Saccharomyces cerevisiae S288C: one gene and its partners. The protein of the gene in region 2 purifies or fractionates together with the protein of the main gene of each other region. This does not show direct contact. Each region holds a gene or a part of one and is shown on either strand. Other genes may lie near its edges.

What was found.
Region 1: the proteins of SPT16 (region 2) and SPT5 purify together in Saccharomyces cerevisiae (affinity purification with mass spectrometry; 5 studies listed by BioGRID, with this or other methods). This does not show direct contact.
Region 3: the proteins of SPT16 (region 2) and CKA2 purify together in Saccharomyces cerevisiae (affinity purification with mass spectrometry; 9 studies listed by BioGRID). This does not show direct contact.
Region 4: the proteins of SPT16 (region 2) and YTA7 purify together in Saccharomyces cerevisiae (affinity purification with mass spectrometry; 5 studies listed by BioGRID). This does not show direct contact.

The regions. Positions count from the first base shown.
Region 1 is NC_001145.3:246,080-251,419, reverse strand, and holds SPT5 (transcription elongation factor SPT5), read right to left. Parts: upstream 3,744-5,340; coding exon 552-3,743; downstream 1-551. Other genes in the region: mitochondrial 54S ribosomal protein bL33m MRPL39, read left to right, coding at 1-116; RAD33 (Rad33p), read left to right, coding at 3,992-4,525; ERV25 (Erv25p), read right to left, coding at 4,669-5,304. UniProt on the Saccharomyces cerevisiae protein: The SPT4-SPT5 complex mediates both activation and inhibition of transcription elongation, and plays a role in pre-mRNA processing.
Region 2 is NC_001139.9:97,005-102,609, reverse strand, and holds SPT16 (chromatin-remodeling protein SPT16), read right to left. Parts: upstream 3,642-5,605; coding exon 534-3,641; downstream 1-533. Other genes in the region: CHC1 (clathrin heavy chain), read left to right, coding at 1-67; SIP2 (Sip2p), read right to left, coding at 4,025-5,272; MIG2 (Mig2p), read right to left, coding at 5,604-5,605. UniProt on the Saccharomyces cerevisiae protein: Component of the FACT complex, a general chromatin factor that acts to reorganize nucleosomes. The FACT complex is involved in multiple processes that require DNA as a template such as mRNA elongation, DNA replication and DNA repair.
Region 3 is NC_001147.6:439,602-443,053, reverse strand, and holds CKA2 (casein kinase 2 catalytic subunit CKA2), read right to left. Parts: upstream 1,521-3,452; coding exon 501-1,520; downstream 1-500. Other genes in the region: YOR062C (uncharacterized protein), read left to right, coding at 1-329; SLD7 (Sld7p), read left to right, coding at 1,891-2,664; LPL1 (putative hydrolase), read left to right, coding at 2,796-3,452. UniProt on the Saccharomyces cerevisiae protein: Catalytic subunit of a constitutively active serine/threonine-protein kinase complex that phosphorylates a large number of substrates containing acidic residues C-terminal to the phosphorylated serine or threonine.
Region 4 is NC_001139.9:1,025,399-1,032,040, forward strand, and holds YTA7 (chromatin segregase YTA7), read left to right. Parts: upstream 1-1,971; coding exon 1,972-6,111; downstream 6,112-6,642. Other genes in the region: FOL2 (GTP cyclohydrolase I), read right to left, coding at 1-337; HUA1 (Hua1p), read right to left, coding at 659-1,255; SLH1 (RNA helicase), read left to right, coding at 6,393-6,642. UniProt on the Saccharomyces cerevisiae protein: Functions as an ATP-dependent nucleosome disassembly factor that helps evict canonical histone H3 from the 5'-end of genes upon their induction.

The DNA of each region.
Region 1 (5,340 bases), on a different chromosome or scaffold from region 2:
TGGTTACTCAGGTCAGATACGATCCTGTGGTGAAACGGCATGTGCTTTTCAAAGAAGCAAAGAAAAGGAAAGTGGCAGAAAGAAAGCCATTGGATTTCTTGCGTACAGCCAAGTGAAGAAATATGAATAAGCACGAGCCCCGGCATGTAAGCCCATCGAATACGCAGACGTTACGCATTTTTTTTCATTTATCCTGTAAATAAGTAATGGATACATACATTTTGTATACGATTCAAACGGAAAGAAATTCCGCTAACGAAAAAGAAGTTATATAAAATTACATTACAATAATCAACTCCCTCATAATAAAGTTGATATTTCATTTAGATATGCAAAAACACATATGCATACATACATACATACGTATATGTAAAAGTTAGAATCAAGGAAAACTCGTGACATACAAATGCAAGCATAAATGAAAAAAAAAGATCGAGATTCAGTATTTCATCGAAACATCGAAATCTTCATAACTATTCTTATTAACGTGGTAATATTAAAGTCTTTTTTATTGATTTCTTCTTGGGTGATATTGGTTCTCCTTTTGGTGATTAATGACCTCCCCATGTACTGTTACCACCATAGTTTGACTTATTTCCTTGGTTGTTCCAAGCAGACCTATTTCCATCGTCTTGGTTACCCCATGCAGAAGCTCCGCCATCTCTTGTACTTTTATTATTGTTATTTCCTCCCCAGGTGGAAGCCCCGCCGTAGGCTGACCTATCACCGGTACCACCCCAAGTAGACATGGCACCATTAGATTCACCACCCGACGCCCAAGTGGATGCACCGCCCCAACTTGATTTGTTACCCCAGGCTGAAGCACCACCCCAAGTAGAAGTAGCACCAGTACCTTGGCCGCCCCAAGCTGAGGCACCGCCGCCAGCACCGCCCCAAGCGGATGCACCTCCATTACCTTGGCCACCCCAAGTGGAAGCACCACCCCATGAGGAGACACCGCCACCACCTGAGCCTCCATGCGCATTTACAGCTGGTGTTTTGCCACCATCGAAGGAGCTCCATCCTGGTGTCATACCACCGCTAAGACCAGAAGAGGTAGCCGCAGCACCTGCTGCAATACCGCCAGTGGCCATGTTTCTTGGGGCACTGACGTAACTTGGGCCCATTCTGGCCTGTGGAACTCTACCACGTCTATTAACCAATTCATCATACGTGATACCTTCACCTCCCTCACGGTTGTAATATGTTAACTTATGCTTGTCAATTGTAATGTGTTTGTTCTTCGAGTGTAATTCGACAGTAGCTTTATCACCATTCACATCTTTCACAATACCTAATTGACCCTTGTAACCAGCAGAACGAATTCTTACTGTTTTGCCGAGTGCAACTTCACGACCTCCTCTGGACTGGATGGGTTGTTGGAATGTCTTAGATGATGGAGGTCCCATTTTAGAAATGATTTCTGGATTCATTTTACTTAGATCCATTTTGTTACTTAACATATTGTCCTTGGATGCCACGGCCTCAACGTTACTAGGGTTAACAACAAAAACCCCTGCATTTTCAACAATCTTCTTTGAAACAACAAAAATTTGTTGTGTTTGTATGTACAGGACCTGACCTTCTCTGCGTGAACCTACTTTCTCTACTATGGTATCACCAATTTTGATTTCATTACCATTTGCATCGACACTAGAAACGCGTGCACGAGCAGTATTTATTTTACTCAAGATAGACCCCTTCGTAATTGTCGACACTTTACCAGTTTCATCAATAACCTTGAAGATATCGTGGCCAGCTTGAATAATACAAGCAACATTTTTAGCACTCAATTCGACTATGTCATGTAGCGCATATTCACTTGATGTAGCTGTAGTGTCGATGGATTTGGACAGATTATTTGCTGTAATGGTAACTTCTCTGCTTGTTTGAGTTGACATAAATGTCACTTGACCTTGCTCTACCATAAGAACTAAACCAGCATCACCTTGATGTTCACCATTGATGACAGTAACGTGATCACCAGGTTCGAAAATTTTCCTCAGAGTAGAGATAGGAAATTCTAGAGGCGTTGTAAAGCCATTTAGTTTGATAGTAGCAATATCTTTCGTGGTTCTTGTTACAATACCCTTGGAACCACGTTGTTCACCATTTAGAACTTCGATACGATCACCTGGCTGGAAAGTGACCTTTGCAGCTTGAGCCTTCTTGATTGATTGTGAAACTGATGTTAGATCTACCGCGCCCTCTTTGGAACCGAATCTTGCCAATTCCTCCACAGTTGGCTGAATATTTTTGGTTTCCACATGTTGAATTCTGAAGGACTTATACAGATAACCATCGATATAATCTTCATTCTTATAAGTAAAGTGGCGATCATCCCTTTTGTACAGGTTAGCTTGGTCTAATCTTAGAGCCATTGTTGGATTAAATAATTGCGGTGGTGCTCTATGAGCAAAAGTTGGTCTTCTGGATTTACGTTGCTGTGTTGTTGGATCAATTTCGTCGAATTTACCATAATCCAGACGAGGAACAATTTTCAGCATAACTTCTAAATTATTCTCACTAATTTGGTCGACCATAGCTAAGTCACCCTTATAGATCCCTCTCTTAATACGAACGTAGCTACCTTCTTCCAAAGCAACATCATCAGATTTGTTTGGTTTTAGTAATAGAGGTAATTCTTGGACAGGAATTAGCAATTTTTGAGAAATATAAATATCTGGAACACCATTACAAAATTTTTCAATAACGGATTGCTTAGGGGCTTCGATATAGATTCTTCCTGTGTAATTATCCCTTTGGAAAATGGATAAAATTTTCAGTTTTTTCTTACCCATCGCCCTATCCAAATTGAATTTTTTTTTTAATAACTTACGAATCAATTCCTTTTCTTTACCTGGTCTGCAGCGCACACCCCAAATGGTAGCTGTATCAACACTTGGTAGGAGAAACCTCTGGGGCACGTAACCATCTTGAGCAGCAGCACGGTATTGCTTGGAGCTGCTTCTACCGTAACGCTCCCTTAATTCTTTCGCTAACCTTTGAGCGTCTTCTTCTGAAGTCTTGTTCAAATCTTGGTCCAGTTGTCTATGTAATCTATCGTCTCTTCTTGCGCCTGGAGCACTTGCTTCGTCATCTTCATCATCACCATGGGTAATGAAACCTTCACGAACCAACTCTGAATCCTCTTCATCTTCATCTTCATCTTCATCATCACTAACCTCAGCTTCAATATCCAAGAATCTGTTCCTCTCCTGACGACGCCTTTTAGTTGGGGCTTCATCGTCATCGTCCTCATCATCATCATCGTCATCGTCGTCTTCATCATCGTCTTCATCTTTGTTATCGCCCTCATCTTTGGTATCACCATCACTGTTTTTGGTGTCCTCTTCGCGAGGTCTCTTCCTTTCATCAGAGCCCTCTTCCTTCTTGACAATTTCATTTGCTTCGGATGAATCCGTATTCAAAGTTGCTTGGGCATCATCTGTAGCAGGCCCGTTACTAGATGAAACCTGCTCTGTGGCCGCCGTTTCTGCATTATCCTCAGGTTGCTGTGGCTCAGATTTTGCTTCTTTTTCTTCCCCATCTAAAGGGGGAATATTGCTTGTACTTTCTGCACGTTCTGTACTTTCCGTTGTGGTCACATTGCCACTATCAACAGTATCTTTGTCACTAGTATTTTCATCTTTAGTGTCAGTTGACTGCGGAACCACTACGGGATCAGCAAATTGTTGATCATGGTCCTGCATGCTCACGTTTGTGTCCGAGTTGTCACTCATAATTATCACAACACCCGTTCCTCTTTCCTTCTGCTGTTACCTACTTGTATGAATGGTTCTTGTCAATGCTACCAATCTTTGAACATGTTCATCCAAATTTTTTTCTATGTCGCATATCAGGCGGGTCACCTTTAGAAGGAACAAGTATGAAATATACTATCATATATATATATAATAACAATTACGCATGCAGGTGTCAGCATTAAGAAGCCGCAAGGTCACCTAAATACCTTCCGAGTTTTTTTTCAATGAGCAAATCCACTAACGTTAGTTATGAAAGAGTAGAGCTATTCGAGAACCCGAAAGTACCTATCGAAGTTGAAGATGAAATTCTGGAAAAATATGCGGAATCCAGTCTGGACCATGATATGACCGTTAATGAACTACCAAGGTTCTTCAAGGATTTGCAACTAGAGCCCACAATTTGGAAACTGGTGAGAAATGAAGACGTCATTATAGAAGGAACTGACGTAATAGATTTCACGAAACTGGTACGATGCACATGCCAGTTACTGATACTGATGAATAATTTAACAGTAATAGATGATTTATGGTCGATGCTTATTAGAAACTGTGGCAGAGACGTGGATTTCCCGCAAGTGGCCTTAAGAGATCATGTATTAAGCGTAAAAGACCTTCAAAAAATCTCCAATCTCATCGGGGCTGACCAAAGTTCTGGGACCATTGAAATGATTAGTTGTGCTACTGATGGCAAGAGGCTTTTCATGACATACTTGGACTTTGGTTGCGTATTGGGAAAACTAGGTTACTTAAAGATGTGAAGCGAACAAATCCATATTCAAATATTTTTTCTCCTTTATTCGGTTCTGGAATCTATTCATATATATGTAGAAAATAGTCGAGTACATATGCAATTATAGGGTAAGCTGATACACAAATGCATGGTGTGGTCCTCTTCCTTTGCTTAAATGATATGTTTCGTTTTGAAGTAGTTCTTCAAATAGTTGACTTGCCAAACACCCAGCGAGGACAAGACAATAATAACCAAAATTGAGAAATTTCTTACCCTTCTGTTGGTAGATTCATTGGTGTCTCTTAATCTCTCCTCTCTGTTTTTCAAGTAAGTCAATTCGTCGACAATTTCGTCGGTAATTTCCTCCACTCTACGCAACTCCACTTCTATAGGTTTCAATTTTTCGTTGGCACTGATCTTGTTCCAGTCACGAGCTTCAGCACCACTCTCAATGTCCAATTCAATGGCCCTGCTTAAAGAACGGCCACGATACTGAGCCTGATTTTCAAAACAAACGTCGAATGCCGTGGAGGATGGAGCAGTAAACGCAACACGAACGTCGCCTGCAAAGTCCCTCTTTCTACGATACTCGTTTCCAACTGAATCACGCACGAAGAGGTTTAGTTTCTGTCCATCACCAACAGAACCATCTGAGTGAATATCCGCGACAACCAATTGACCTTCAGTGACAAAATCACGAATACAAACCTGTTCTGGATCTGTAGATGCTGCAATGTCGAAATGTAATCCCTGCACTGCCACCACCAAAGAGATCAAAGTTGTCAACCATAACTGTAACACCTGCATCCTTTTTTTGCTTTTCACTTATGAGATCAACTGAGT
Region 2 (5,605 bases):
GCACAAAGATGGCCAACCTTTGATGCTGATGAACAGCGCGATGAACGTTCAACCCACAGGATTTTAAGACGTGGATAAAATAATTCGTTTGCTGTACCCCATCGTGTATTTTTTTTTTTTTTACCGTTATTATTTTGTTTGTTAGCATCTTTGATTATCTGAGGGGATTTCAAAATGCCAATAAAAAAGACCTTATGAGTTCTGTATTTTTCTTAATATTTTCGAGAGAATTTCCCAACTATAAAATTGTAGATTACAGGAATAAATAAATTGCAGAAACTAAAATGATTGAAACTGCCTTTTCAATTTATATACTTTTATATCAAATTATGTTCAACTCTAGTAGAGTTTCTTTTATTACGCAAACGTCCTATGACCTTGACCGTTAGCATTGAGTGTACATTCAGTCCATTTACATTTCTTAGCATTGATAAATACTATGCCTAAATACCATCATTATTTTTCAGATACATAAGAGTAATTTTCTGTCAGATCAAGGTCTTGCTGGTGAAACCCAGTAAGTGTTATAAAGTCTAATCTCTAAAGTTTGCACCCCTATCAGCCCTAGCAGCCTTTTTCTCTAATTCATCCCAGTCTTCACCTTCCTCACTCTCGTCGCCAGTATAGTCCTCACTTTCATCACCACTAATATCGTCATCCACCTCTGATCCTTCTTCATCTTCAGAAAATGCGCTTTCATCACTTACGTCGTCTTCTGAAGCCTCATATTCACTAACTTCTTCTTCACTTTCATCAGATGCTTCATCATCTGAACCAGTAGCCAGAAAATTCCAACCACCATCTAAGAAAAACTGATATGGATCATCTTGTAATGACTTCATAATAGTTGCCCAATTCAAATTGATTGTTGAGACAGTGTAAGGAATATCCATATCTGTTAACCACTGCTTCAAGAAATCTAAAGATTCGATCGGAACTGTATTGATATGAGTGACGGGTTTATTGAAATCTTTATAAACAAAAACCATGTCGAAGTTTTTCAAACCAAATTGAACTCTTTCTAAAATACAGATTTCGACTTCCTCTAGGTTAATCACCAAAAATGGTGGTTCAATCAATTGAACTAAACAATCTGTAGTTGGCATACAGAAAACTGCCGATCTATTTGGGACACCTTGGAAGCCCAAATCTCTAAATGTATTCTCCACCGTCAATAAACCGTTTGATGCTTCTGCGATTGCGTCTGCAAAATACTTAAATTCTTTATCAAGCGCAGCTCGTTTTCTTCTTTCTTCTTGTTCTTGTTCCAGCTCATCCTCATCACCATATCTTCTGAATCTGGATTGACCTCGTCTTCCACCTCCAGTTTCATCGACGGACATATCAGAAGCTTCACGATAGAATTGGACGTCTTGTATTTTCTTTTTACCCATTAAAATTGGATTCTTCAAATGAATATGAATGACGACAATTAATTCACCTTTACAAGATTGAAAAATTAGATTCTTAATGTTTGAGAATAATATGTCTATTCTGCTATCAGTCCTTAGTGGGGATTGAAATCTGATACCATTTTCATGGATAAAGACAGTACTAGGTACACGTTTTGTATCTGGATTTGGCCTCACAAAAATTTGATCCAGTCTTTTCGTTCTTCCAGTTTTATTTTCAATCAATTTGTCCTGTTGAACAACATCAGCAAGCGCCTTACGTTCTTGCTCTCTCTTTGTGGCTTCTTTTTTCAAATCTGCAATTTGTTTAAAGGTTTCACTCATGCGGTCACCATCTTTGGATCTTAGTGTAATCGAACGTACAAATTGATTGTCTGCTGATTCCTCATACGGCAATTCCTCCACTTTTTTAGAAATACCACCAGAAGATCCCGGTGAATTAAAGTTCAAACGTAAATACGTATATTCGCCTTCTTCGTTTTTAGAACCATTCTTATATGAATTTATATGAAATGGGACTGGCCTACCGTAAATGGGTAGAATAATTGTTTGGCTTTTCCAGTCGACATGAATTCTTAGATCACGAATATTGGTTGGTAGTTGTGAATCCCGAACATAAGATTCATATTTTTTGAAGTATTGACGAGGTTCACTATCTGGGCCATTGGCATCAGCAGCACTAAATCTGAGTAATCCATTCTTTTCCAATTTTTCGTGTAGCTTCTTTTGGTTTTCTTTACGAATTTGCTCCTTTTGAGCGTCTTCGGCACCACCACGGGCTTCGCCACGTAACTTTGTTCTTAAAATTTTGGAATTTCTGTCTGGTTTACTAGGGACTTTGGTGGCAGGTGAAGATTTCTTTTTATTATTGTCTTCTTCTTCATTATTGAAATAAAATGATATCTGGGATTTGGCTTTGGTGTAATTTGTTAAGAAGCGTGGAGGCTCTGTTTCATCGAGAGGAATTTGAACCGTATCAGCTAATTGTAAAGCGTAGTTGTTAGCACTTTGAGAATCTTTCAGATTATTGAAACCAAACGAAATATTAAAGCAGTCACCGCGTTGGATTTTACGGTAATCATTCTTAACATTTAATATAAAGTTAGAATCTCTAAATTCGAGACCAATCAATGAACCAATGTTTTTGGTGAAATTGGGCACTAGTTCAGGTTTGGTTTTTTCGATGTATTCTATTACTGATTCATAAACTTCTTTTGGTGTACGGCCGGGCTTCAGAATGTTAGTTACAATTTCTTTTTGCAAAGTTAATAGAAAATCGTAGTTGTTGGCCATTTCTTCAGATGGATCGATCAAAAAGGTCCTAGTAATATTAGAACAATAATTATTGTAACGAATACCACATGAAGCTAAAATACAACCGTTGCCGTACAACTGATCATTGGTAGAACGGGCAGAAACCCTAAGATCAAACTTTTTCCCGGACTGAATGATTGGAGAATAGGTCCAATCCAATAAATCAAAGTTGAATTTGTAGTTTGGTGGGCATAATGCGCTTAAATCGGGACTCAATTGCTTCAAAAATTTCACATCATCAATTTTATTTTCAATTTTGTCTGATAACTTGGCATTGGTGATTTTCAACTCCTCGTCAACTGCCCGAACCATTTCATTGGATAAAAGGTCCATAAATTTGTCCGACCCCTTACTTGAAACGGACAGGAAGGCTTGTTCGTTAACATCCTTCACTTCCCAAACTTTAGAAAGACCCAGCGAAATATCAATGACATTGAATTCGTTCTCCTTCACAGCCGCTTCCCATACTGGGTTCCACTCAGTCATAAATTTACCTTGGTAAGAGTCCTTTTCAGGGATACCCACTGTTTTACCAGCGCTATTGATTAAGGCAATAACGTCATCAAATAACTTTTTATTGAGTTCTGGTTCTTTATTGTTTCTTTGCCACAATTCCAGCGTAATTTTGCTTTCAGGGTCTTTAAATAGATCAATTGCCTTTTGTAAATGCTTGGCCTTGGCAGAACTAGTAATTATAATAACCTTTCCGGGAACTAATGCAATCAAAGTAGCGGGAAATTCGTAACTTAGCAACCAATTATGCAATATGGTCGTCTTCTGGTACGGGTTTTCAGCGTTGGACGAACCTAAAACAAACAGCAGCGAATTTGGAGAACCTTCAAACTCATTGTACTTGGAATACAACAATTCAATCCTTTTCTTAAATACGTCAAAATCAATATTCAGCTCTTCCATATTCACTTAAATACACGAAGCCAGTTCACGAAAGGTGCAATATCAGAAAGGAGTAAAGTTGGAATAGCTGAACTTTTTACCTTTTAGTCCCGTGACTCTCTTAGCTACTTTTATTCCTCTTCTCACCAATATTAAGATTTCAATATTCTTTCGTTAGAAAAGTGGCGATTCTCATTTTCCGAAAAAAAAAAAGATCACGCGACTTCCGGGTATTAGTATCGTGGTTTGTGATAACAATAAGCATTGAGAGTACTGAGCCCATTAGTAAATCATTATGTTATATGCTTCTATATCTCTGCTTACACTAAATTGGAAATAGAAATTAGTGTGCCATAGCTGCCAAAAATATATACAATACGCCTTTAAAAAGTAGGAATCCCGGATTACGAGGACTCTATGGGCGTATAAAGAATCTGGGTGACATATTTCTGTTTATATCGAACGATGGAGGCTACACAAAGTGTATTGTGCTTAATGCTACTAGTAACCAAGTGGTTAAGCACCACATGGTTCGGAATGGGCAGAGCGCCTGAGTTGTTCTCGTTGAACTGGTCTTGCGTGGCATAGTATTTATTCAAGATAACATTCTCCAACTGAGGAGGTAATTGGGGTGGTGTCAGCCATGACGTATCAGTATTGCTTTGCTGACGATCCAAGGTATAATAGTATCGTTCCATGACAGACGGGTCAGTAAACACGGCGGGAATGTCTGTTGTATATTCCAACGGAGGTCTGGGTGACAGATCTTCATGAAACCTTGTATATCCGTCACCAAAATCGTCTGGATCCTTACCAATTTGTAGAGCAATTGAGGATCGATCGCTGGTGGGAGGTCGCATGGAATCTGCTTCCTTGGACCTTATCTTTTCGTTAGTTGGGTTTTTTTCTGGTTGCCTGACTTCTATGTAATTGACGAAGTTTCCCATCTGATCAGTTGCTGTGGGCAGGAAATCACTAACTCTAAGCTCATTATCCACTATAAATCTGAATCTATGTGTGCCTGGAAGCAGCCTTAGCTTCACATGAAATGAGCCATTATTGTCAGAATCAGGTATCAAACCGATCATTTTCCTCCATTTGGTGAATGAGCCTGTCACGTAAACTTTTGAACCACCTTGCTGCCACCTTATCTCCACGGGAACCATTAATGAGCTCTTGATTTCACTTGGACCTCCCGAAGCTTCTTTGGCACGTATTTGCTGTTGTCCCTCCTCTCTGGGCGAAGAATGGCCTGAGCGATCATCATCAGGACTGGCATCTTGCTTGGGCTCTGTCGTCTGGGCAATAATATCTCCCTCTTCATCATCGCTAGTAGACGAAGACCCAGAGTCAGTGTCCACAGCAGTTTCCATAACAGATAGCTTTGGCATAGTGGGCTCGTCCTCATCACGCAGCAATAACGTCGATTTTTTTTTGGTAATAGATCCCTCCCTTGAAGGCTGCCCCGCGTCTTGGGAATCTGAACATTTATTTAAGCTCAGTTCAGTAACTTTCTTGCTCACAGCATCCATTTCTTGCGGTTCGCAGCCTTGAGCATTGCTGGGTTTTTCTCTAACGTCACTCATGATAGGTGCACGACACTTTTTTGTTGTTTGCTTTTTTTGGGCTGGATGACTTGTCGTAGTACCCATAGAAACTTCACTGCTCTCAGTACCCTTCCAAAAGCACAATTATTTCAGATACTTTTCATTTCCCAGGAATCTTGTGGTGTATTTATCCTTTCCCTAAAAGATTTTGACGATCCGAAAACGCAAGGTAAATCTTTACTCGGTCCAAGGGAGCAATATAAAAGACCATGCCGGCCGCAATTCGTATAGGTAAACGTGCTATTCATGACGATGCTAGTTAGTGATATGCATGGTTATCTATTTAATCTATCTATGTAAGTACGCGTTATATGCTAAGTTGTTTCATGACAGTTCGTTAGAGGAAAAATGGTGAGATAAAAAGGGGCCGTAAAGGTT
Region 3 (3,452 bases), on a different chromosome or scaffold from region 2:
AAGGCAGCGTATTTTACTCAAAAGGTAAATGGCTCTCTCAGCGTTCAATATCATTCGATGACACTGTTCGTAGGCGAGATATTGACAAACGTGGGAGATTTCGTGAATCATGTGTTCTAATAAATGATGTAGAACAATTCCAAAACTATTCCATTGTCTGGGACGAGAGTAGACATCGCTACCGTCGGCAGGCACTTCCAGACACGTACGATTACGAGCATCTCTATCCCAATGGCGACGAAACTCCTCGGAACACGCCTCACGACAATATAATAATTCATCAAAACTTGCATAGCATTACGGAAGGCTCTTATATCTATATAAAGTGATTTTCTGGTCATATAATAATCTACATTCGTTGTTAAATAGAGTTTGCAATTTAATATTCACATTAAGGATATTCTCTAATATCAAGCTACAAAAAAGGAAAACCCCTGCTTTTTATAAATGGAAATCAGTGGTGGAAAAAGAATTGCCTTGCTAAGAGTATTGTTGTCCAATTATTCAAACTTCGTTTTGAAAAACTTATGATCCATAGCCTCCTTTGCTGTTAATCTTTCTTGATGGTCATACCTTAATAAATTGTCGATTAAATCAACCACTTCAGGAACAGCTAATTTGGTCTCGGAGGTTATAAAGTGTGTCCACGATTTTTTTGTAAAGTCTCTCATAATGTTGTCGTATTCAGATGGTAAGTGCAACCCGTACTTACCCAAATAGCCTAACAGTTCCTTGGTTCCTAGTACTGTGGCAATCTTTACCAGTTGATCTGGATTAGACGACCCTTTGAAAAAAGGTTCTTTTTTGAAGACAATAGCTGCTAGCATGCATCCTACTGACCATAAGTCTAGGGAGTAGTCATATTGGTTCAAGTTTACTAAAAGTTCTGGTCCCTTGTGGTAACGCGAAGCGACACGAACGTTGTAATCTACACCTGGATGGTAGAACTCCGCCAGGCCCCAATCGATCAGCCTTAGTTTACGTTCCGTAGGATCAATCATGACATTCTGAGGCTTTACGTCTCTGTGCATTATGCCCATGGAGTGACAGTAGTCTAACGCAATCAATAATTGCGTGAAATAATACTGGATGTCAGGAAGTTTGAATGTAGGATATAAAGTTCTGAAATCAACATTTTTGATTTCCTCAAAGATCAAAGCAGGTATTTTGGAGTCAGCGTCTTGTACTATATCATAAAGGCCAACAACATTGGGGCCGCCTGTTAGATTGGTCAGAATTTTCAACTCTCTATAAATTTTTTTCATTTTAACTGGTTTTAAAACTTTAATAACACACTTCTGGTTGTTTACAATACATCTACCGCTGAACACTTCGGAATATTTCCCTCTTCCAATTTTGTTGATAATTTCGTAATTGGAAATCTTTCCCCAATCGATGGTCACCCCTTGTTCGTAGTCCCAGTATTCTTGTGGTCTCTCCTCGCAGGCATTCTTGTACACCCTAGCTACAGAGTAGACTCTATTAGATTTCTGGTTCAATGTTGACGGAGGTAATGGCATTCTGTTTCTTCTATTCTTTTAGGTTTATTGTTCCTTCTATTTCCCTGAGACCTTACAACTCTATGATGTTTTTTTAATTACTTTTTATTTTTTAGCAATCATACAAACTCCAACAAATGTGTGTGCCCGTTGTTTCCCAATTCAGGTTAAAAAGGTTGACGATGCTTTATTCTTCTTTTTATAACTTCCACCTAGATAAGATCGTTGGAAATTTTTCGATCGTCTGTTTGCTTTGCCAGGTTCGGGCGAAAAGCGGGCTACGCAAGGAAATTTTTTTCTTTGAGGCCTGATAAAGGCCTGTTGGCAGGTAACTAAGAAATGATAGACTGCCTTGAAAGGGGACAGCATTCACCAATTCGCCTGACTTTTGATGTCACGGAAATTATGCACACTAAATTTTACTCTTAGCGGAAAGCAGGGAAGTTTGGTCATTAGGGATATCCAACTTTGGAGCAATCGACCTACAGCAAGTAAATCAACTTCAGAGTTGAGGGGACAATTCATTCAGTATGTAGATCTCGCAAAACTGCCTTTGTGGGTCCGCTCCACAAATATGAATACATATAGATGTTATAGTACCAGTGCAACCGCACAGGCTTACTTCAAATCAAAACTAAGGAACGCGAATCGTGGCATTGTCATTGAATTGTTTGACAAGGTCGATCAGCGATCGCAGGAGCCAGCATACTTGATTATATTTCGAGAGAACACAGAGTTAAACTGCTTTCAAGTGGATCTAACAATGAAGCATGAGTTTGATGGCCAGGTCACCAAATTGAAGCAAGATATTGGAAAGACAAGGGCCTCCGTATCAAAGGAAGGTAGTATTGATATAATAATACAACAATCTCAACAAAGGAAGATCGGAACGAAAACGGAAGTGTATCGCAACGTGCATATTAATGACAAACGGCTTCAATTCAATGAAACTTTGTCCAAGCTAATTTTGGGTGGCCTCCGACTTCGAGGTATTTCTAATTCTATTACAGACTATCAAAAGTTATACAAGATAACGTTTGATGCAGCTGAATTTACGCACAGGGATGAATTAAAACGCATTTCGATGGGATCTGGTGAAGAGGTTTCGTTTGAATCATTGCAGGAAACTGTGGAAACTCTTCTGAAGCTCTTTACCAAATCATGATCAACGGGGATTTTCAGTATATAAGATCAAAATGAAAAACAAAGATAATAAAGAAAGGGTGGCAACTCTTTACTGCAATAATCGGTAGAAAACTTCGTGTGATCAACCATATATATTATACAGCGCTTCAGATGACTTCGGATAAACACCTTTTTGTGCTGATTCACGGGCTATGGGGTAACTATACTCATATGGAATCTATGAGGACAATTTTATCCACTACATTAAAAAAGGAAGATGTTAACGATGATATGATATATTTTTTACCAAAGCAGAATGCCATGTTTAAGACGTTTGATGGTATCGAAATCATTGGGTACAGGACATTGATTGAAGTTTGTGAATTTATCCGAGATTATAAAGACGGGAAAATCACCAAACTAAGCGTAATGGGATATTCGCAAGGCGGATTAGTGGCCCGATTTATGATCGGTAAGATGTTGACCGAATTTAAAGAACTGTTCGAGGATATTGAACCACAATTATTCATTACAATGGCAACGCCTCATTTGGGGGTAGAGTTTTACAATCCTACGGGCATAGCATATAAAAGTGCGTTATATAGTGCGCTGAGGACCTTGGGATCTACTATTTTAGGTAAAAGCGGGAGAGAAATGTTTATCGCAAATTCTAGTAACAATATATTGGTGAAATTGAGCCAGGGTGAGTACCTTGAAGCACTCTCGCTATTTAAATGGAGGATAGCGTTTGCGAATGTCAAAAATGACCGTACGGTAGCCTTCTATACGGCGTTTATTACGGATTGCGACCCATTTATAGATTTTGAC
Region 4 (6,642 bases), 930 kb from region 2:
AGACAGCATTCTTAATGACATCGTCCATAATGTTCGTTTGGTAACCTTTAGTGAAATAAAGCATGGCTTTAGCGTATCTTTGTGGAGTATCTAGTAGACCTTCTCTGTTGACATCTTCACCCAGTTCGGTCAAAATTGTCTTGATAGCGCCTGAAATGCGTTGAATTCGTTCCTTTTCCTCCTCTTCAGTTTCCTCTGCACGTTGTCTTGTACCCACACTTGGCCAAGAAAACCCATCTCTCTCGACAGGAGGGTTTAAAGTGTATGGAGAGGTAGGTCTAATGTTTAACGGGGTTTCATGTCTTTCTATCTCTTGCACTAATTGGATGTTATGCATTTTGGGATGATTGAAAGTATTGGTTCTAACAAAAAATGAGTCACGCACGCACAATCACGATTGAGGATGGAGTCGTATAATATTTTATGAACGGATGCTATATCGATCAGACGGTTGGCACCGTAAAAATAAATGAAAGAAGTTAAAGAAGGGCAAATCAGTCGGATTATGTGATAAGTATGTAATAGACATGTTTGAAAATTAGGAGCATTAAAATATGCTTTTCATCCTACAGTTGTTCGGTCTTTTTTCTTTTCGGTGAGCGACACAGCTTTTCTACTAAGGCCGTACCGGGTCATCCAAATCCTAAATTTTCATGCGCTAATAGCGTTGAGGCTGGGTGATAATTCTGCCTACACCATGACAAAGAGGACATATATCTTCGTCCAACAGGAATCTGGTGCGTCCGGACCCTCTGCATTCACCACATAGCACGCCACCCAGGCGAGGATCCCCTGGTTGAACGTACAAGGGCCTATTACCCTGCCATGCGTTGGTGTACACGGGCATTGTATAGTTTGTGTAATATGTCGGTGCAGAAACAACGTTATTTTGAGGTGCAAACCTCCTCCAACACGACTTGCAAGATCGTCCATTCTTCAACTTGTAACCCGTATTTCCACACTTGGAACAGTAAAACCTGGGAGGGTATGTCCAGGGCAAGCTAGGATTCTGTTGTGGCCTCGGTGGAGGCCGTGGTTGGGAACTTGTAGGCGTATAAGAGTGTGAGTGAGCATATGTTTGGGATGAGGACGTTGCTGGCATTGTCGAGGGCCTTTGGTGGGGTCTTGATTGGTGCCCTTGCGCCAAGTTAGCTGCTGGTCTTGGTGGTCGTGGCGGTTGAGATTGCAATCTCTCCTCTTCCTTGATTACGTCCTCGTAGCTCGGCAGTTCATCATCATGCGTGTCTTTAGACATAACAGTATGGTTTATACTCGTTTTATGGGTATTTTTTGGGACTGCTTAGTTCTTGACTTGAAGCCTCTTTATTCCCTTGATGGAAGTGTCACTATTAAAGATGGAGGCGGAGGCTATACCGTAGAAAATGATATGTTTGTATGTTCTGCTCTCTTCCCTCTATTAAAAGGGGGAAAGAGAAAAATAAATGGAAAAAAGCGATTAAGCCATAGGGAAAACACTCTTGTGGTGGCAAAGCATCAGATAGGCAGGCAGGAGGAAATGGCAGTGAAGTGTCAAACCAAGCATACTTTCACTGGATTGATTTGAAAGTTAATGCTGAGTTTGAGATGTTTTAAAGAGGAACTGTGGTGATCGGTTATTTCTATTCGCTTTTGTGTGCGTCTTTTCATCGTTTGCAGCTGAACTTGTTGAGGCATTAGCCGCTGAGGAATTTTTTTCTGCCTCTATAAACTTGTTTATTATCACTAAAAACGTACCGTCTGTTATTTTGTACGGCCATGTGTGCGAAAAAGGACAAAGTGGTAGCGAAAGAGCAATATTGGGACGAAAAGGAGCAGAAAAGGAACTGCGTAGGGTCTTAAATAAAGCAAAACGTCTGAAGGATCTTGCGTACTCCTTACTAACCCATTGTTGTTTTCGACAGTCATAAAAAGAAGTTACCACGGTCTATTTCTCTCTTCTCGCTATTTATTCACAATTGGTGCAGAAAGAACATGGCACGAAATTTAAGGAATAGACGCGGTAGCGACGTTGAAGATGCAAGCAACGCAAAGGTTGGGTATGAAACACAGATTAAAGACGAAAATGGCATAATCCATACAACAACTCGCTCTTTGAGAAAAATAAACTACGCAGAAATTGAGAAAGTGTTTGATTTTTTGGAAGATGACCAGGTCATGGACAAAGATGAGACGCCCGTTGATGTTACTAGTGATGAACATCATAACAACAACCAGAAAGGCGATGATGAAGACGATGATGTTGATCTTGTATCACCGCACGAAAACGCCAGAACGAACGAAGAGCTTACTAATGAAAGGAACTTGAGAAAAAGAAAAGCGCATGATCCAGAAGAAGATGACGAAAGTTTTCATGAGGAAGATGTCGACGATGATGAAGAGGAGGAAGAAGCAGACGAATTTGAAGATGAGTATTTGGATGAAGACTCGAAGGATAACAACCGTCGGCGCAGAGCGGCCGATAGGAAATTTGTAGTACCAGACCCTGATGACGATGAAGAATACGATGAGGATGACGAAGAAGGAGACAGAATAAGCCATTCGGCTTCTTCTAAACGTTTGAAAAGGGCAAATTCTCGAAGAACAAGATCGTCACGTCACCCAGAAACTCCACCACCGGTAAGAAGAGCTTTAAGAAGTAGGACAAGACATTCGCGTACTTCAAATGAAGAAAATGACGATGAGAATGATAATAGCAGGAATGAAGCGTTAACTTTAGCTGATGAAATTAGAGAGTTACAGGAAGATAGTCCTATCAGGGAAAAAAGATTTCTTCGCGAAAGAACTAAGCCGGTAAATTACAAATTACCACCACCACTAACTGCTAGCAACGCAGAAGAATTTATAGATAAGAATAACAATGCACTTTCTTTTCATAACCCATCACCTGCACGGCGTGGTCGCGGTGGTTGGAATGCTAGTCAAAATTCTGGTCCCACAAGAAGGCTTTTTCCCACTGGTGGACCTTTTGGTGGCAATGACGTAACTACAATATTTGGTAAGAATACTAATTTTTACAACCAAGTCCCATCTGCATTCAGTGATAATAACAACAATAAATTAATACTGGATTCAGACTCTTCCGATGATGAGATATTACCTCTTGGCGTGACACCGAAAACAAAGAAAGAGAACACGCAAAAAAAGAAGAAGAAAAAACCAGAAATTGCAGACCTCGATCCATTAGGCGTAGACATGAATGTAAATTTTGACGATATAGGTGGTTTAGACAACTACATTGACCAATTAAAGGAAATGGTGGCCTTACCACTATTATACCCAGAATTGTATCAAAATTTTAATATCACGCCCCCAAGGGGTGTTCTTTTCCATGGTCCTCCTGGTACGGGTAAAACACTTATGGCAAGAGCGTTAGCAGCAAGTTGTTCTTCTGATGAAAGGAAGATCACATTTTTTATGCGTAAAGGTGCAGATATTTTATCCAAGTGGGTTGGTGAAGCTGAAAGACAACTCCGTTTGTTATTCGAAGAAGCTAAAAAACATCAACCTTCCATCATTTTTTTTGATGAAATCGACGGATTAGCGCCTGTGAGAAGTTCCAAACAAGAACAGATCCATGCTAGTATTGTTTCCACATTATTAGCGCTGATGGATGGTATGGACAATAGAGGCCAAGTCATTGTCATCGGAGCCACAAATCGACCCGATGCAGTGGATCCCGCATTAAGAAGGCCGGGAAGATTTGATAGAGAATTTTATTTTCCATTACCTGATGTTAAAGCACGTTTTAAAATTTTGCAAATTCAGACCAGGAAATGGAGTTCACCGTTGTCAACCAACTTCATTGATAAATTGGCTTTTTTGACCAAAGGATATGGTGGTGCTGATCTGAGGTCCCTATGCACTGAGGCTGCACTAATAAGTATACAAAGAAGCTTTCCTCAAATTTATAGGTCAAATGATAAACTCTTGGTGGACCCTTCTAAGATTAAAGTCAAAGTTAGCGATTTCATGTTAGCTTTGAAAAAAATTGTTCCGTCATCTGCGAGATCTACTGGTAGTTCTCCTCAGCCACTACCTGAATTAATCAAACCATTACTGGCAGATCAACTTAATAATTTAAAGAACAAGCTGGATTATATGCTGAACATTAAAGACACAACTTTTCAGAGAAACACATCATTGCTACAAAATTTCATCGATTATGAAGAATACAGTGGAGAGGAAGAAGAGCATGACAAATATGGAGGAAATGAAGATACATCCAGTTTTAGATCATATGAGTTTTTCGAATCGATGGCGGAATCACAAATTTGTAAACCTCGGTTATTAATAAATGGGCCCAAGGGAAATGGTCAACAATATGTCGGAGCCGCAATTTTAAATTATTTAGAAGAATTCAACGTCCAAAACCTGGACCTTGCCTCTTTGGTTTCGGAAAGTTCTAGGACTATTGAAGCTGCTGTAGTGCAAAGTTTTATGGAAGCAAAGAAAAGACAGCCCTCAGTTGTATTTATTCCTAATTTAGACATTTGGATCAACACTATTCCAGAAAACGTTATTTTAGTCTTATCAGGTTTGTTCAGATCTTTACAAAGCAATGAAAAAATTCTTCTATTATGCTTAGCTGAAAATCTTGATATATCTGAAGTTAAAAATGGTATTTTATCTGATTTTGCTTTTGATAAAAATATCTTTCAACTGCATAAACCATCCAAAGAGAATATAACGAGGTATTTTTCTAATTTAATTGAACTACTGAAAACAAAGCCAAGTGATATTCCCATGAAAAAGAGAAGAGTCAAACCGTTACCTGAATTACAAAAAGTAACTTCAAACGCAGCTCCAACAAATTTTGATGAAAATGGTGAGCCACTGTCTGAAAAAGTGGTATTAAGAAGGAAGTTGAAATCTTTTCAACACCAAGATATGAGATTGAAAAATGTGTTAAAAATCAAACTCTCAGGCTTGATGGATCTTTTTAAAAACAGATATAAAAGGTTTAGAAAACCACCTATTGATGATGCCTTCTTGGTTCATCTTTTCGAACCAGAGACAAGCAATGATCCCAATTGGCAACCTGCATATATAAAAGATGAGAACATGATTCTGGAGGTTTCAACAGGGCGAAAGTTTTTTAACATGGATTTGGATATTGTCGAAGAGAGACTTTGGAATGGCTATTACTCAGAACCAAAACAGTTTTTAAAAGACATTGAACTGATATACAGGGATGCAAATACCATTGGGGACAGAGAACGTGTCATTAAGGCCTCTGAGATGTTTGCCAACGCGCAAATGGGTATCGAAGAAATTTCAACCCCGGATTTTATTCAAGAGTGTAAAGCTACTCGCCAAAGGGATTTGGAAAGGCAGGAACTTTTCTTAGAAGATGAAGAGAAAAGAGCTGCAATGGAATTAGAAGCCAAAGAACAGAGTCAAGAAAATATACTGCAAGAACCTGATTTAAAGGATAACAAGGCTAATGAGTTTGGTGTAGCTGCTGGTAATCAATTGCAAGCTCAGCTGCAAACAACTATCAATACAGCCTCTATCGTTAATAACAGCGAGGTCCCTCAACCAATTGATACCAACCTGTATAAAAAGGAGATTCCTGCGGCAATTCCCTCTGCAGTAGATAAAGAAAAAGCGGTCATCCCTGAGGATAGCGGTGCAAATGAAGAATACACAACGGAACTGATACAGGCCACTTGCACGTCAGAGATAACCACCGATGATGATGAAAGGGCCAGAAAAGAACCAAAAGAGAATGAAGACTCTTTGCAAACGCAGGTTACGGAAGAAAACTTCAGCAAAATAGACGCTAATACTAATAATATAAATCACGTAAAGGAAATTCAATCGGTTAACAAACCAAATTCCCTCCACGAAACGGTAGAAAAAAGGGAACGAAGTCCGATACCAAAAGAGGTTGTGGAACCGGAGCAAGGGAAGAAGAGCGACAAGGAGCTTATTTTGACGCCCGAACAAATAAAAAAAGTATCTGCATGCTTAATCGAACACTGTCAGAATTTTACGGTTTCTCAATTAGAAGATGTTCATTCGTCCGTTGCAAAAATAATATGGAAAAGTAAATCAGCATGGGATAAAACAGGAACTGTCGATGAAATAATAAAATTTTTATCTGAATAAGCAGGAGTCCATAATGTTTATATAATTCTTAAATGTAGTTAGTTCATATACATGAATGTGCACTTTTCTTGAAAAGAAATAGATTTAAAACCACACCTTGTATATATATTATGCTTTTTTCCACTACTTTATTTTAACAGTCACTGTTCTGGCATACGTTTCGGGTAATGACCGAGAATGGAATATGTATTGAACATATTGAAATTAAACATGTTCATAATATCTTCTAACACCATTGGAATTGTGAGAAGTAGATCCGTACCATCAATAGCCGGCTCAAGATGTCAACTGAATACTCTGCTGATTCATCTAAATCATTTATGATTGCAATGCAATCTATGATTGATACTTCACAAACCTTTAATCTAGATAGATCGAAAATCTCTTTACCAGATTTTGATGACGAGCTAAAAAAAGTCCAAAAGGATGAACAAAATCAAAGAACTGAACTAACTGTTCTCTCACAAGATAGAAATGATTGGGATGATATATTTGAGGAGTTTAAAGACATTTCATTTGCTCAACTGCAAT